3 linked regions of the Macaca mulatta genome follow. The protein of the gene in region 1 interacts with the protein of each later gene in a pairwise test. Links are inferred from orthologs where the notes say so. Each region holds a gene or a part of one and is shown in the gene's direction. Other genes may lie near its edges. The genes, in order: TRIM59, ZDHHC22 and NRM.

Evidence for each region.
Region 2: the proteins of TRIM59 (region 1) and ZDHHC22 interact in binary tests that used the Homo sapiens proteins (3 or more experiments, as listed by UniProt). The link is inferred for Macaca mulatta from reciprocal best matches to the Homo sapiens genes TRIM59 and ZDHHC22.
Region 3: the proteins of TRIM59 (region 1) and NRM interact in binary tests that used the Homo sapiens proteins (3 or more experiments, as listed by UniProt). The two-hybrid records come from large-scale screens. The link is inferred for Macaca mulatta from reciprocal best matches to the Homo sapiens genes TRIM59 and NRM.

The regions. Positions count from the first base shown.
Region 1 is NC_133407.1:63,617,008-63,620,753, reverse strand, and holds the start of TRIM59 (tripartite motif-containing protein 59), read left to right. Parts: upstream 1-1,332; 5' UTR 1,333-1,419; intron 1,420-1,596; exon of another isoform or gene 1,597-1,662; intron 1,663-2,332; 5' UTR 2,333-2,405; intron 2,406-3,746. UniProt on the Homo sapiens protein: E3 ubiquitin ligase involved in different processes such as development and immune response. Serves as a negative regulator for innate immune signaling pathways by suppressing RLR-induced activation of IRF3/7 and NF-kappa-B via interaction with adapter ECSIT.
Region 2 is NC_133412.1:150,341,287-150,344,932, reverse strand, and holds part of ZDHHC22 (palmitoyltransferase ZDHHC22), read left to right. Parts: intron 1-1,409; coding exon 1,410-1,675; 3' UTR 1,676-3,646. UniProt on the Homo sapiens protein: Palmitoyltransferase that could catalyze the addition of palmitate onto various protein substrates and be involved in a variety of cellular processes. Catalyzes the palmitoylation of KCNMA1, regulating localization of KCNMA1 to the plasma membrane.
Region 3 is NC_133409.1:152,354,326-152,358,071, forward strand, and holds the start of NRM (nurim), read left to right. Parts: upstream 1-1,496; coding exon 1,497-1,629; intron 1,630-2,221; coding exon 2,222-2,418; coding exon of another isoform or gene 2,419-2,424; exon of another isoform or gene 2,425-2,440; intron 2,441-2,982; coding exon of another isoform or gene 2,983-3,000; coding exon 3,001-3,177; intron 3,178-3,496; coding exon 3,497-3,746.

The DNA.
Region 1 (3,746 bases):
GGAACTTTATTCTGAGCCTTGAGAGGAATGTGGCTACAGCCTGAGCCAAGCAGCAGGCATCTGCACCGTCTGCCTTTTGTTTCTGTAAATAATTAAAATCGGAGGAGCAAACCATACCAGAGATACAACCCCCTGAGATCACTACCCGTCCTCACGGAGTAACGAAGTACTCTTTCTTGGAATGTAGCAATCTGTAACCTACCAAATAGCTGTAAGTATGTACTGGTCTCTTACGGAAAATGAAATCCTGCTAAAATTTGTCTCTGGCCACCTAGGTGAAACCTTAACTTCTTCACTTTGGAATGCTGACCCCATTTGGAGCTGGTGTCTCCTGGGTGGCTACCCTCAAGCTTTACGCTGGAATAAACTCTTATCCTTAATCATATTTCCTGAACCTATTTAAGGTCGACAGGAGAGGGAAGCGGAGATGTCTTGAGATAAAGCTGAATAAAGTTTCTCAAGAAAAAAGGGAAAGAGACCTCTGAGCTGTAAGTTGTTTTCTAACTCTAGGGAGTTAGAGGTGAAGTAGGAACCTGAAGTTGGAAGTGCTGAGTTGGACAGCCCTCATCTCTAGGCAATACTTTAGTAAAGTGGAAAAACGGGAGAAGACGACGAAGGCTAGGGAGAGATGCACCCAACCCAGTCCCGGGTTTCCCACTCGCTCTCGGAGTTGGGTACAAAGAGTGTTCCAAAACCCCTTCTCCTGTGCTCAGCCCAGTGCTCCGGTGGGTCAGGTCTCCGGAACGCGTAAACAAAAGCAAACAGCTGAGCGGCGGAGGGCGCTGGCGACAGGTGTGGGTGTGCCCTGAGGATGCGTGGCGACTTCCCGGAGCAGCGGGTCTGTGTGGCAACGATGGAAGACACTGCATTCCACAGCATAGCAGCAGGCCCTGCCCTGGATGGCTCCAAGTAAAAGACAGTTCCCCAGAAGCCGTCGGCCGCCGGCGATTCGCCTCCTCCCGCGCCAGACCCCGCCTCTCCCCCAGACTACCGGTGCCATCCAGATGCCCCAGGCGGGACCCCAGCTCACGAAGCCCACTGGCCGAAGCTCCCCACAGGCTAGAGAGCCGCTCCTTCGAGGCCAAACGTCCGAGAGGCGGCCTGCGCCTAGCACGCAGGCGTGGAAAGCTAGGCGCCAGCCTCGATCTGACCGCCGCCACCTGCCTCGAGCCGCGCCGTCCGCCGTTTACTTTCGAACGAGCCCAGCAATAGTTCCCATTGGCCGATGCCGCGCAGTTGAAAGCTGCCTGCAGACTGCGCCTGCGCCGCGAGGCTCCGGGCGGCCCCGCCCGGCCTGGGCACCTGAAGCCCTTCGGGGCGGAGGAGGGCGGGGACTCGGGGCGACTCTCAGCATCAGCCAGGAGCCGGTGGCTCTCTGTTTCGGCGCTGTGGAGTCGCCTACTCCGCCTCCTCCCCGCGGTGAGTCTAAGGACCTTTACGGATCCGAGAAGGTGGCTCTGAGTCCTTTTTCTTTTCCTGTAGCACAGGCTGGTGTTCCAGTGTGTTTGCTGGGGAGTCCTGGGGGCGTGACGATGGAGGGAGTGGCTTGGGACCTGCATTCATTCCCACTTGTCCCACACTGGAGTTTGGGGAACCATTCTCCCGTCTCTCCACTGTGGAGCTGCGTTCCTGTGAGGGAGGAGGCGCTCTGTGGTGGCCAGGGTGAGCTGGGCCAGGCCGAGTCGGTCAGCCCCGCGGGGCTTGGGGTCGGGCGGTTGCGGAGGCGGAGGCGCTTTAGGAGGGAGGCCTGGGAGAGTGGAGCTTTCAGAGGGGGAGGGGAAGAGTACTGCCATTTTGAGCCCCTTTGTGGGAGGTGCTCGTAGGACTTAGGTGGGATAGGTGCAGTTACCCATTTTACAGATGTGAAGCCTCACTTTTGAGAGATATTTGATAATACTGACTCAGGTACCACAGCATTGAAATGGCAGAACAGAGAGATGAGCAAACTATACTAAATCAGTTACAATTTTGAGCTGGCAAAGTATTTTACTCCCATGGATGCTTTTGTCTTGCAGTTAATTTTAAGCACTCTAAATGACCGTGAATGTTTTTTCTGCCATCGCCGTTGGTGGGTCATATTGTCGAGAGCTCATAAGCTACTTGACGTTGTAAAGAGGTCCTTTGTGACCATCTGTTTGGTCAGAGTTCGGATTTTCAAGGAACAAGCGATACCTCTACTGCAGCTCCAGCAACTGTGTTGGTGTTTGTGACTTTTTGGAAAACACAGTGAAGCATAGTGAAGATAAACATCAAAGACAGTGAACTAACAACCATTTTTATGACATGAGACAATAAATTGAAAGCATTAAGGATAACATTATTTTAATTTTAGAATAAGAATAAAAGATTCTGGAGGAGTTGGAGAGAGTGTATTCAGTCCCCAAACCAGGAGATCAACAAAGTAGGTAAGTTCTGGGAGATTAAGTAAATATGAAAAACATTTTAACTGAGTTTTTCCAGAGTGTATCATTTAAACTATAAAGTGAAATTTAGAAGTCTTTTGAAAAAACATTATGTTGATGGTGTATCAAATTCCAACCATCTTACCGAAGGAGCGGAGCATAAAGTGAAAAACAGCTTCCTTTTCCGATCTGTACCTTAAAGGTAGTCACTCAACTCTTTCGTACATCCTTCTAGAAATTTTACAAGAATGTGTACATCTCAAAACACATGCAAAGCTGTTATTTTAGACATACAGATCTGCAGAACTACACAAAACTGCAAATTAAGTTACCTGGATACTTCTTCACTATGCATTCATATATTGGTCTTTTTAAATGAGTAAGTAGCTATTTAATCTGGCAAGGTGAAATTTTGATTTTAGGTAATGTTAGTTTTGACATTGCCTTTCACCAAACACGTTGATGACTATTTCCCACCAGATATATTTTTACTTTGAAAAGTATAACAAAAGTAATTAAAGCCTTAACTTCTCAAGTCAGTTCCTGGTTAAATTGAATTAAGTCTTTTTTTGTTTTGTTTTTAGTTTTTTTATTTTTTTAGTTTAGGAAAACAGGTTGATATCAAAATGAAATAAAATAGTACAGATGGACAAAGAGAGTTAAAATCAGCTGACCATAGGATTTTTTTTTTAATTTGAAAAAGTTAAGGTGATCTCTCATTATTTTTGTATATTTATATGTGGCAGAATTATTTTTAAAAATCTTGTTTCTCAAACTTTCCGCAACAGTGTTAAAAAAAAAAAAATCTTATATATGTATATAAATGATGAAGTTGTAGTTATTTCTTAAGTAAGTCTTCGATTGCATGAAATGTATTTCTTCTTTATCAGTTAGGGCCACAAAGATGTGAGCCCCAATTTGGGTGGTGGCACCACTTGAATTTTTCTATACTTAAAGCTGACTCACTAGAAGTCATGGGGCAAGTCATCGAATTCTATAATGTAGTAAAAATATTTTCGTTTCAGAGGCTGTGAAATGTAATGAATGTTTTACAACTGTTCATGTTTAGAGTTGAAAGGCAGGAAAGCATTAGTGAATTAAAGCTTAAAAACTGGTTTACACAAGAGAATGGGTAATGATATTTTTGGTGCTATTTTATCATCTGTTATACTATCTATTACCTAATATGCCAGTTAGACATCAGGGAGGCTCCCTAGTGAATTGGTCCTCTGGAGAAAGACTTAATAAAAAGTGTGGAAATTCAGAAATGTATTTGTTTTGACACTTAAACACAAGATGTTAGTGAAATAATTTGTCAGTAGAGTGATTTAGCCTCAGATTTCT
Region 2 (3,646 bases), on another chromosome or scaffold:
TTGAAAGACCAGTTCCCAGGACTTTGGAAATTGGAGGCTGGAGAGACTTGGGAAGAGGTGGGCTGGGGCAAGAGAAGGCGAGGGAAAGGGCAAAATATGGTTGAGATTTTCAGGGGCAGAATAGGTTGTAAGGTGGAGTCCTTAGAGGAGATACCCCCACCCCACCAGAGGAGGTGATAGGGTTGCCCTACAGGGAGCCAAGGGCTAAGGAGGACTTTCGAATTAACTCCAGGGTCCAGTGCCCTGGCTGCTGGGCAGATCAATGTAAGTGTCTTTGCCACAGCTGCCAAAGTTGCAGCCCAGCCAGGACTCTAAGCCCTGAAAAGGAGAAGGAGAAAGCTTGATAGTTTCAGGAGTTAAACTTGAACTCATTTTGGATGTAGTCTCCTGCTCTGTAAACATGACCCTCTGCTGGGAGCACCACAGTGAGTGTGAACGGGGATGCTGACCACTCTGTACATCATTTTCTTGAATCATGCAGCTGAATGAAATCGTTAGTATTATTGTACCCATTGTACAGATGAGTGAACTTCAACTGAGAGGTTGGGACACTTGTGTAAGTCCACACAGCTGGGAGACTCAAACCTAGCATGGACCAGCCATCCAAACTCTGAGGAAGAGTGTGGGAGCTGTTACTCAGTGATTATTTCAAACCAGTAAGAGGAAGTGCTTGGTTTAGAGGGATTCTGGGGAGATCCTGCCCCACGACACAGGGCCAATGACCTTGGGGGCCTCTTTTAGCAAGATTTGATTGACAGAACCAGCTCTGGTGGAATGCTGTGGTGGCCACACTGTCCTCTTGTTAACATTAATGACTGAATTATTCTCTACGTTGGTGCTCTGGGCTGCTCTTGAGACTAAGCTCATGACTTATTCTTCCCAGTTCTCCATCATGCTGTCATTTTCCTGAGTCCTCTCAACTAGCGCTCCCAGGACAGTATAGAGAAGGTGCTGCGGTCTAGACATCTGCCCAGACACCCGCTCCCTCTTTAGGGTCCTCAGCTCACCCCTCTCTCCTCCTGAGCAAAACCCCTTCACCCTGCTTCCAGCCCAAAAGGAGAAAACAGAGAAAGACAGGCATCTCCGACTCTACAGAAATGTTATCAGCGGCCAGATGCTGCCCCAGGAGCTGAGGGCTCTCCTTGCTAAGCTCATCAAACTTAGCTGTTTTCGCCAGGTCTCCAGTTTTCCCCTCTTGCCTCAGGTGCCATCTGCACCAAGAAAAAGTTAGGGCAGCTGGTTCTTCCTTCCTCTCCCTCACTGCAGCTGCAGCGCTGAGGTTGCTACAAAATGTAGTGTCAATCTCATTAATCTCCCTCCCTCCCAGTGGAAAGCCTGCCTAGATCACAGTTCTGCAGGTGGCCTGGGTGTAAAGCGGCTCTGGTGTTTCCCCTCCCGTTGCCCTGCAGGAGCTGTCCTGGGTTCTGAAATGTTCGTCATCCTCATGCTCTACCTCTGGTTCGCCATCGGCCTGGCCTGCGCTGGCTTCTGCTGCCACCAGCTGCTGTTGATCCTCCGCGGGCAGACCCGCCACCAGGTGCGGAAGGGGGTGGCAGTGAGGGCCCGGCCCTGGCGCAAGAACCTACAAGAGGTCTTCGGAAAGAGGTGGCTGCTGGGCCTGCTGGTCCCCATGTTCAATGTCGGAAGTGAGAGCTCCAAGCAGCAGGATAAGTAGCAGACACTCCCGTCATTTATCTCTCTCTCTCTCTGTCTTGACTCCTCCTGAGCATAAAACCATGGCAGCCTTGTCTCCACCCATGACCCACTACAACCTTGTGCTGGTAAGGTCCTAGCATCTTCCCCCCGCCTTCCACCCATGAGAACAGTGTGGGCTGGTGGATTATGACAAGGAGGAAAAACGTCCCCCCAGGCATTTCTAGGCTCCTCACGAGCCAGCCAGGTGGCTGCTAGCCGTTAGACTGCCTCTGCTTTCGTTCCTTCCCCTTGGGATCCCTGCTTTCCCCCTCTTCCTGGCTCATCCATTCTCCACCAGGTCTCATTCATCACTGCTGTCTGCTAGAGCCCTTCCTCTCAGCCTCCATGTTGGGAGAGGGGAGTGGATTCTTGCTGCTGGTATGAAACTCCCTGGGACCTAGAGGCTGGCAAATGTTTAAAATCACCATGTGTAAGAGGCAGCCAAGTCAGCTCTGCCAACAGCTAGGGGAGTTGGGAAAGAGTGGGTGTGTGTCTGCATCCCCTCTGTAGGAAAAAGAACTCAGTAGCTTGCTGCTCCCTCACCCCACCCTCCAGGTTCAAGACCCTTTCTCTGGGAGACAGAAGTCAATGGCCTGCTTTTTCCAAATGCTATTCCCTGTCCATCCTGCCCCATCTGGCCAGCCCAGCCCAGTCCAGGACCTGGCTGGATGCTTCGTCTCCCTGGAACTCTTCCAGCCTTTCTACTTGATCTCCAGCCCCCAGGTCTTTGCCAGATGATGGGAAGGCAAGGAAGAAGGGACAGGGAAAGAGAATTACTGATAAAGGAAGGGGGTATTCGACTGTATAACCATATGGAACTCTGTGTGTGTGTGTGTGTGTGTGTGTGTGTGTGTGTGTGTGTGTGTGTGTGTGTGTGAGAGAGAGAGAGAGAGAGAGAGATGGATGGTGGTGAGAAGTGTTGTTAGAAACATATAGGAATAATGCCTAGGGGAAAGGGAGAAGTGAGAGGGACAATTGGGTTCATTTATGCCCTATACAAAGGGCATTCCAGCAGCTGAAACTTTTCAGTGTTTGAACGGCTGCCTGTGAAGGTAGTGAGTGCCCCATCACTAGAGGTATTCCAGCAGAGTCTAGGCAATCGTCTGCCGGCATGCTGTGGAAGAGATTTCTGCACAGGGTCATTCTAGGTGAGCTTACACATTCCTTCCAACCCCAAGGTTCTGGTGTCCTGGTTGTGACTGCTGGACCCAGAGGCAAGATCTGCGGAGATGCCTGTGAGATATTTGCTTTCCTGGAGGGGAGTGTGGGCATGGGAGGGGTCTGAAGATCAGTACCCAACCCAGCCACTGAAGAGAGAGTCTATGCAGAGACAGGGCTACCTGGGTGGTTGCGGGGACTGACATTTGAGGACAGGGAGATGGAGCCGTGTCATTGTCAGTGGCAGGGCATGGGGGGCAGTGGTGAGTTAAGGCTGGGGAGTGGAGATGACCGGAATATAAGGGTGCAATTCCCAGACCATCCCTGCGCATCTGACTGACTCCAGTGGAGGCACTACTGTGTGTTTTCTGAAACCCAGAGGACCAGACCCCTGGGGCATATAAGGGAGGAGGGACAACACAAGTGCCCCCTCCTGACTGGGTCCCAAAGCCAGTATGACATCCATGCAGGCAGTAGTGCTGAATCCACGCCCTGCAATGCCCAACCGCCGACCACAGGGATCTGCTGATAGCTGCACAACACCCTGGGTTCTTGAGCAGAGACTGGGAGGACTTTACTGTGGTTCTGCCTTCACGCCCCCTAGACAGCTAATGTAGTACTCGACCTGCTCATACTTCTCCCTCCCATATTCATTCATTCATTCATCCATCCTACATATATTTACTGAATGCCAACTACGTTCCCAGCCTCTTCCAGGCACTGGCAATGCAGTGGTGAACAGGGTGACAAGATTCATGCCATCAGGGGCACCTTGTCACGGCCGTCTGTGCAC
Region 3 (3,746 bases), on another chromosome or scaffold:
GACTACAGGCGTGTGCCACCACACCCAGTTAATTTTTGTATTTTTAGTAGAGACAGGGTTTCACCATGTTTGTCAGGCTGGTCTCGAACCCCTGACCTTGTAATCCACCCGCCTAGGCCTCCCATAGTGCTGGAATTACAGGCGTGAGCCACTGCATCCAGCCTCCTTTTTTTTTTTTTTTTTTTTTGTTTGAGACAGAGTTTTACTCTGTCACCCAGGCTGGAGTCCAGTGGCGAGATCTCAGCTTATCACAACTCCCACCTCCCGGGTTCAAGCGATTCCAAAGTGCTGGGATTACAGGTGTAAGCCACTGCGTCTGGCCTCTTACACTTCCAATGAACCCCACAGCTTGTAGCACATTGCTTTGTGTGGTAAGTGTCTCTATTTGTGGTCCTAGCAGGAAATGAATAGCACAGTCAAATTAGGATAATTTGGGGAAGAGTTTAATAAAATGATAATTACAAAGAAGTAGGCAGGGTGTAGGGAAATCAGAAAGCATAGTGCAGTGCCTTAGTACCCACAGCTCTATTGTGATCACCTCCAAGCTCAAAAAGATGAGGGTGGAGCAGTCGTGTAAAGAGGACTTTCTCAATAAAAACTGTGACTTTCATTGATACCGTCCATTTGGGACAACTTCCTGAAGCAGAAAGCAGGGTGGAGACTGAATTCAAGGGAAAACATATGATGTCTGGTACAGCATACAACAGCATTCATTCAGAGGAGGGTGGGAGTACTGAGCCCAGGAGAGGGAGAAGGAATGTAAAGCCTGCGAGAGGCTGCTCAGCAGTTTTCTGGTCCCTTAGCCTACAGGATTAGCAGCTTCCTAACAGGCAATTATCTCTCTGGACCTGTTTATTCTATCTATAAGTTGATGGAATTAGTCTAATGATATCTAAGGTCCCTACTATGTGCACAGCTACTGCGACAAGGTCCTTAGCTGCATGATCTTTAATTCTGACAAAGGTTACTATCACAAACATTTTAACATTTTTACTCTCGTGGTTACAAATCAGCAATCTCTGGCACTATTACAACAAACCTTTCAGTATTTACAGAGAAGTTATCTGCCCTTCTTAGCAACTAGCCAATCAACAACTCAACTTTATAGTAAGTTACAGAATTTATTCTGTACAGTGTATTCTGTACAATGTATTCCATACATTAATGTATTTTGTGGTAAAATAGTAACTTTTAATTTTGGATGGTTAAACTAGACGAGCTGAGATTTAACCCACGTAAGCGGCTGCAGAGCCGCTACCCTTAACAGCTCTCTCTCGGGATTCTAACATTCCCTTCCGTGACGGAGAGACCGCAGGCTGGGACACGCATCCCGGGACGGATCCACAGCTGGGTGGGGAAGGCTGCGCCCGGCGGGCCGGAAGCCGGGCGGTGGCGTGCAGGAGCCCCGCCTTCCTGGGCTGGATTCGGGCGGGGGCGGGGCCTGAGGCAGCGGGAATCCCGACCCCGCCCCTTTCCCCACCCCTCCATTTCTCGCCATGGCCCCTGCACTGCTCCTGGTCCCTGCTGCCCTCGCCTCTTTCATCCTGGCCTTTGGTACCGGAGTGGAGTTCGTGCGCTTTACCTCCCTTCGGCCACTTCTTGGAGGGATCCCGGAGTCTGGTGGTCCGGGTGAGCGGGAGGGATCGGGGATGAACTGGGAGTAGGAAGGTGGAGCCGTAGGAGAGGGATCGAGGGCGGGGCTTGGAAACAAATGACAGGGGAAGTCCCAGAGAGGGAACTCGAATCTTGAAAGCGGCCGAGAAGCTACAGGGGAGGGAGACCTGAGTTCTAAATTAGGAACTCAAGGATTACAGTTTTGGAGAGGTGGGAGAGTGAGGACTGAGGGAGCCGAAAAGGGCGATAACCAGAGTATTCTAAGTAAAATGTTTTGTAGAGAGGGCTGTTGAGAGTGTTAAAAAGAAGGAGCATTTGGAGAACCGAAATAAGAGGGGCAATCCAGCGGTGGCCTCTCCAGCCATGCTTTTTGCAACTGCCTAACATGCGTTGTTCTATAAATCCTCTCCCCTAGGTTTGCAGGAGGCCTAGGGAAGAGGGCAGAAACTAGGAATGGAAAAGTGAGATGGGCACAGCCTAGAGAGGAAGCATTAAGGCTCTTGAAAGCAGTAGGGACATGGCCTGGGGCTCCAAAAGGAGATGAGGATGGGGGAAACATTTGCCACCTTTTCGATCTTTTGTCTCTTTCTCCCTCAACTTCCTGTAGATGCCCGCCAGGGATGGCTGGCTGCCCTGCAGGACCGCAGCATCCTTGCCCCCCTGGCATGGGATCTGGGACTCCTACTTCTATTTGTTGGGCAGCACAGCCTCATGGCAGCTGAAAGAGTGAAGGCATGGACATCCCGGTACTTTGGGGTCCTTCAGAGGTCACTGTATGTGGCCTGCACTGCCCTGGCCTTGCAGGTATGAGGCCCTGGCCTTGCAGGTATGAAGTCCCTAAGGGAGACCAAGTGTGGGAGGGGTGCCCTGGATTGGAGGGGCAAAATATGGGTTCAGGAGGAGAACTGAGGAACTAATCTCAGCTTCCATTCCTCCACAGCACATACCCTAGTTTTTATCAAGAAGGGTGTACTTGTCCTTCCCCAAGCACAATACGTGCATTCTCACCTTTGCAACTTTGTTCATGTCCTGCTTGAGATCCCTTCCTTCTCTTCAGTCCTACCCTTTCTTCAAAACCACTTCCCTAGGTCTGAAGAGGCCTTGTCTGTCTTCTCATTGGGTGGTTGGCATAGGCTACTACTTTGTGTAGCTATCAGGTCACCCCATCTGTTCTGTAAATTCTCAGGGTGGAGACAGGCCATCCTTACATCTTTGGGACCTCACCCAGCATGCACCCTCCACATGGTGAATATTTGGTGGTGATGCTTAGGTGAGAGGTGGGGGAGAGTTGCAGGCTAGCCTGTGGTGGGGGCAGCTCTGGATCCGGGTCTCCCAAGGTCGGGCAGGGTAGGGCACTGGGATACGAAGCCCCTTATCCTTCCACAGCTGGTGATGCGGTACTGGGAGCCCGTACCCCGAGGCCCCGTGTTGTGGGAAGCTCAGGCTGAGCCATGGGCCACCTGGGTGCCCCTCCTGTGCTTTGTGCTCCATGTCATCTCCTGGCTTCTCATCTTCAGCATCCTTCTCGTCTTTGACTATGCTGAGCTCATGGGCCTCAAACAGGTGAGGCTCTGAGATCCCTACCTACGACCTCTGACCCGTTTTAGAACTACTCTTTCCCTTTCAAGGGTTTCCCTCCTCCCATGCTCTTCTACTGTCTCCTTGATTCTCCCTCATGACCCTTCCCTCAGAAGGACAGCAACCATGGGCCTCCTGGGCCTGGGGAAGGTACATGGATCATAAGTCAGGATCAGGGATCCAAGTCTCAGAAGAGGGGTTCCTGGGCCTGAGTTCTAGAAGGCTGGTGCCTGGAAGAGGAGGAAAGAAGCGCCCAAGCTGAGAAAAGGGCTTGACTCAATTTCTAAACTCTTCTCCCTCTTAGGTATACTACCATGTGCTGGGGCTGGGCGAGCCTCTGGCCCTGAAGTCTCCCCGGGCTCTCAGACTTTTCTCTCACCTGCGCCACCCAGTGTGTGTGGAGCTGCTGACAGTGCTGTGGGTGGTGCCTACCCTGGGCATGGACCGTCTCCTCCTTGCTCTCCTCCTTACCCTCTACCTGGGCCTGGCTCATGGGCTTGATCAGCAAGACCTCCGCTACCTCCGGGCCCAACTACAAAGAAAACTCCACCTGC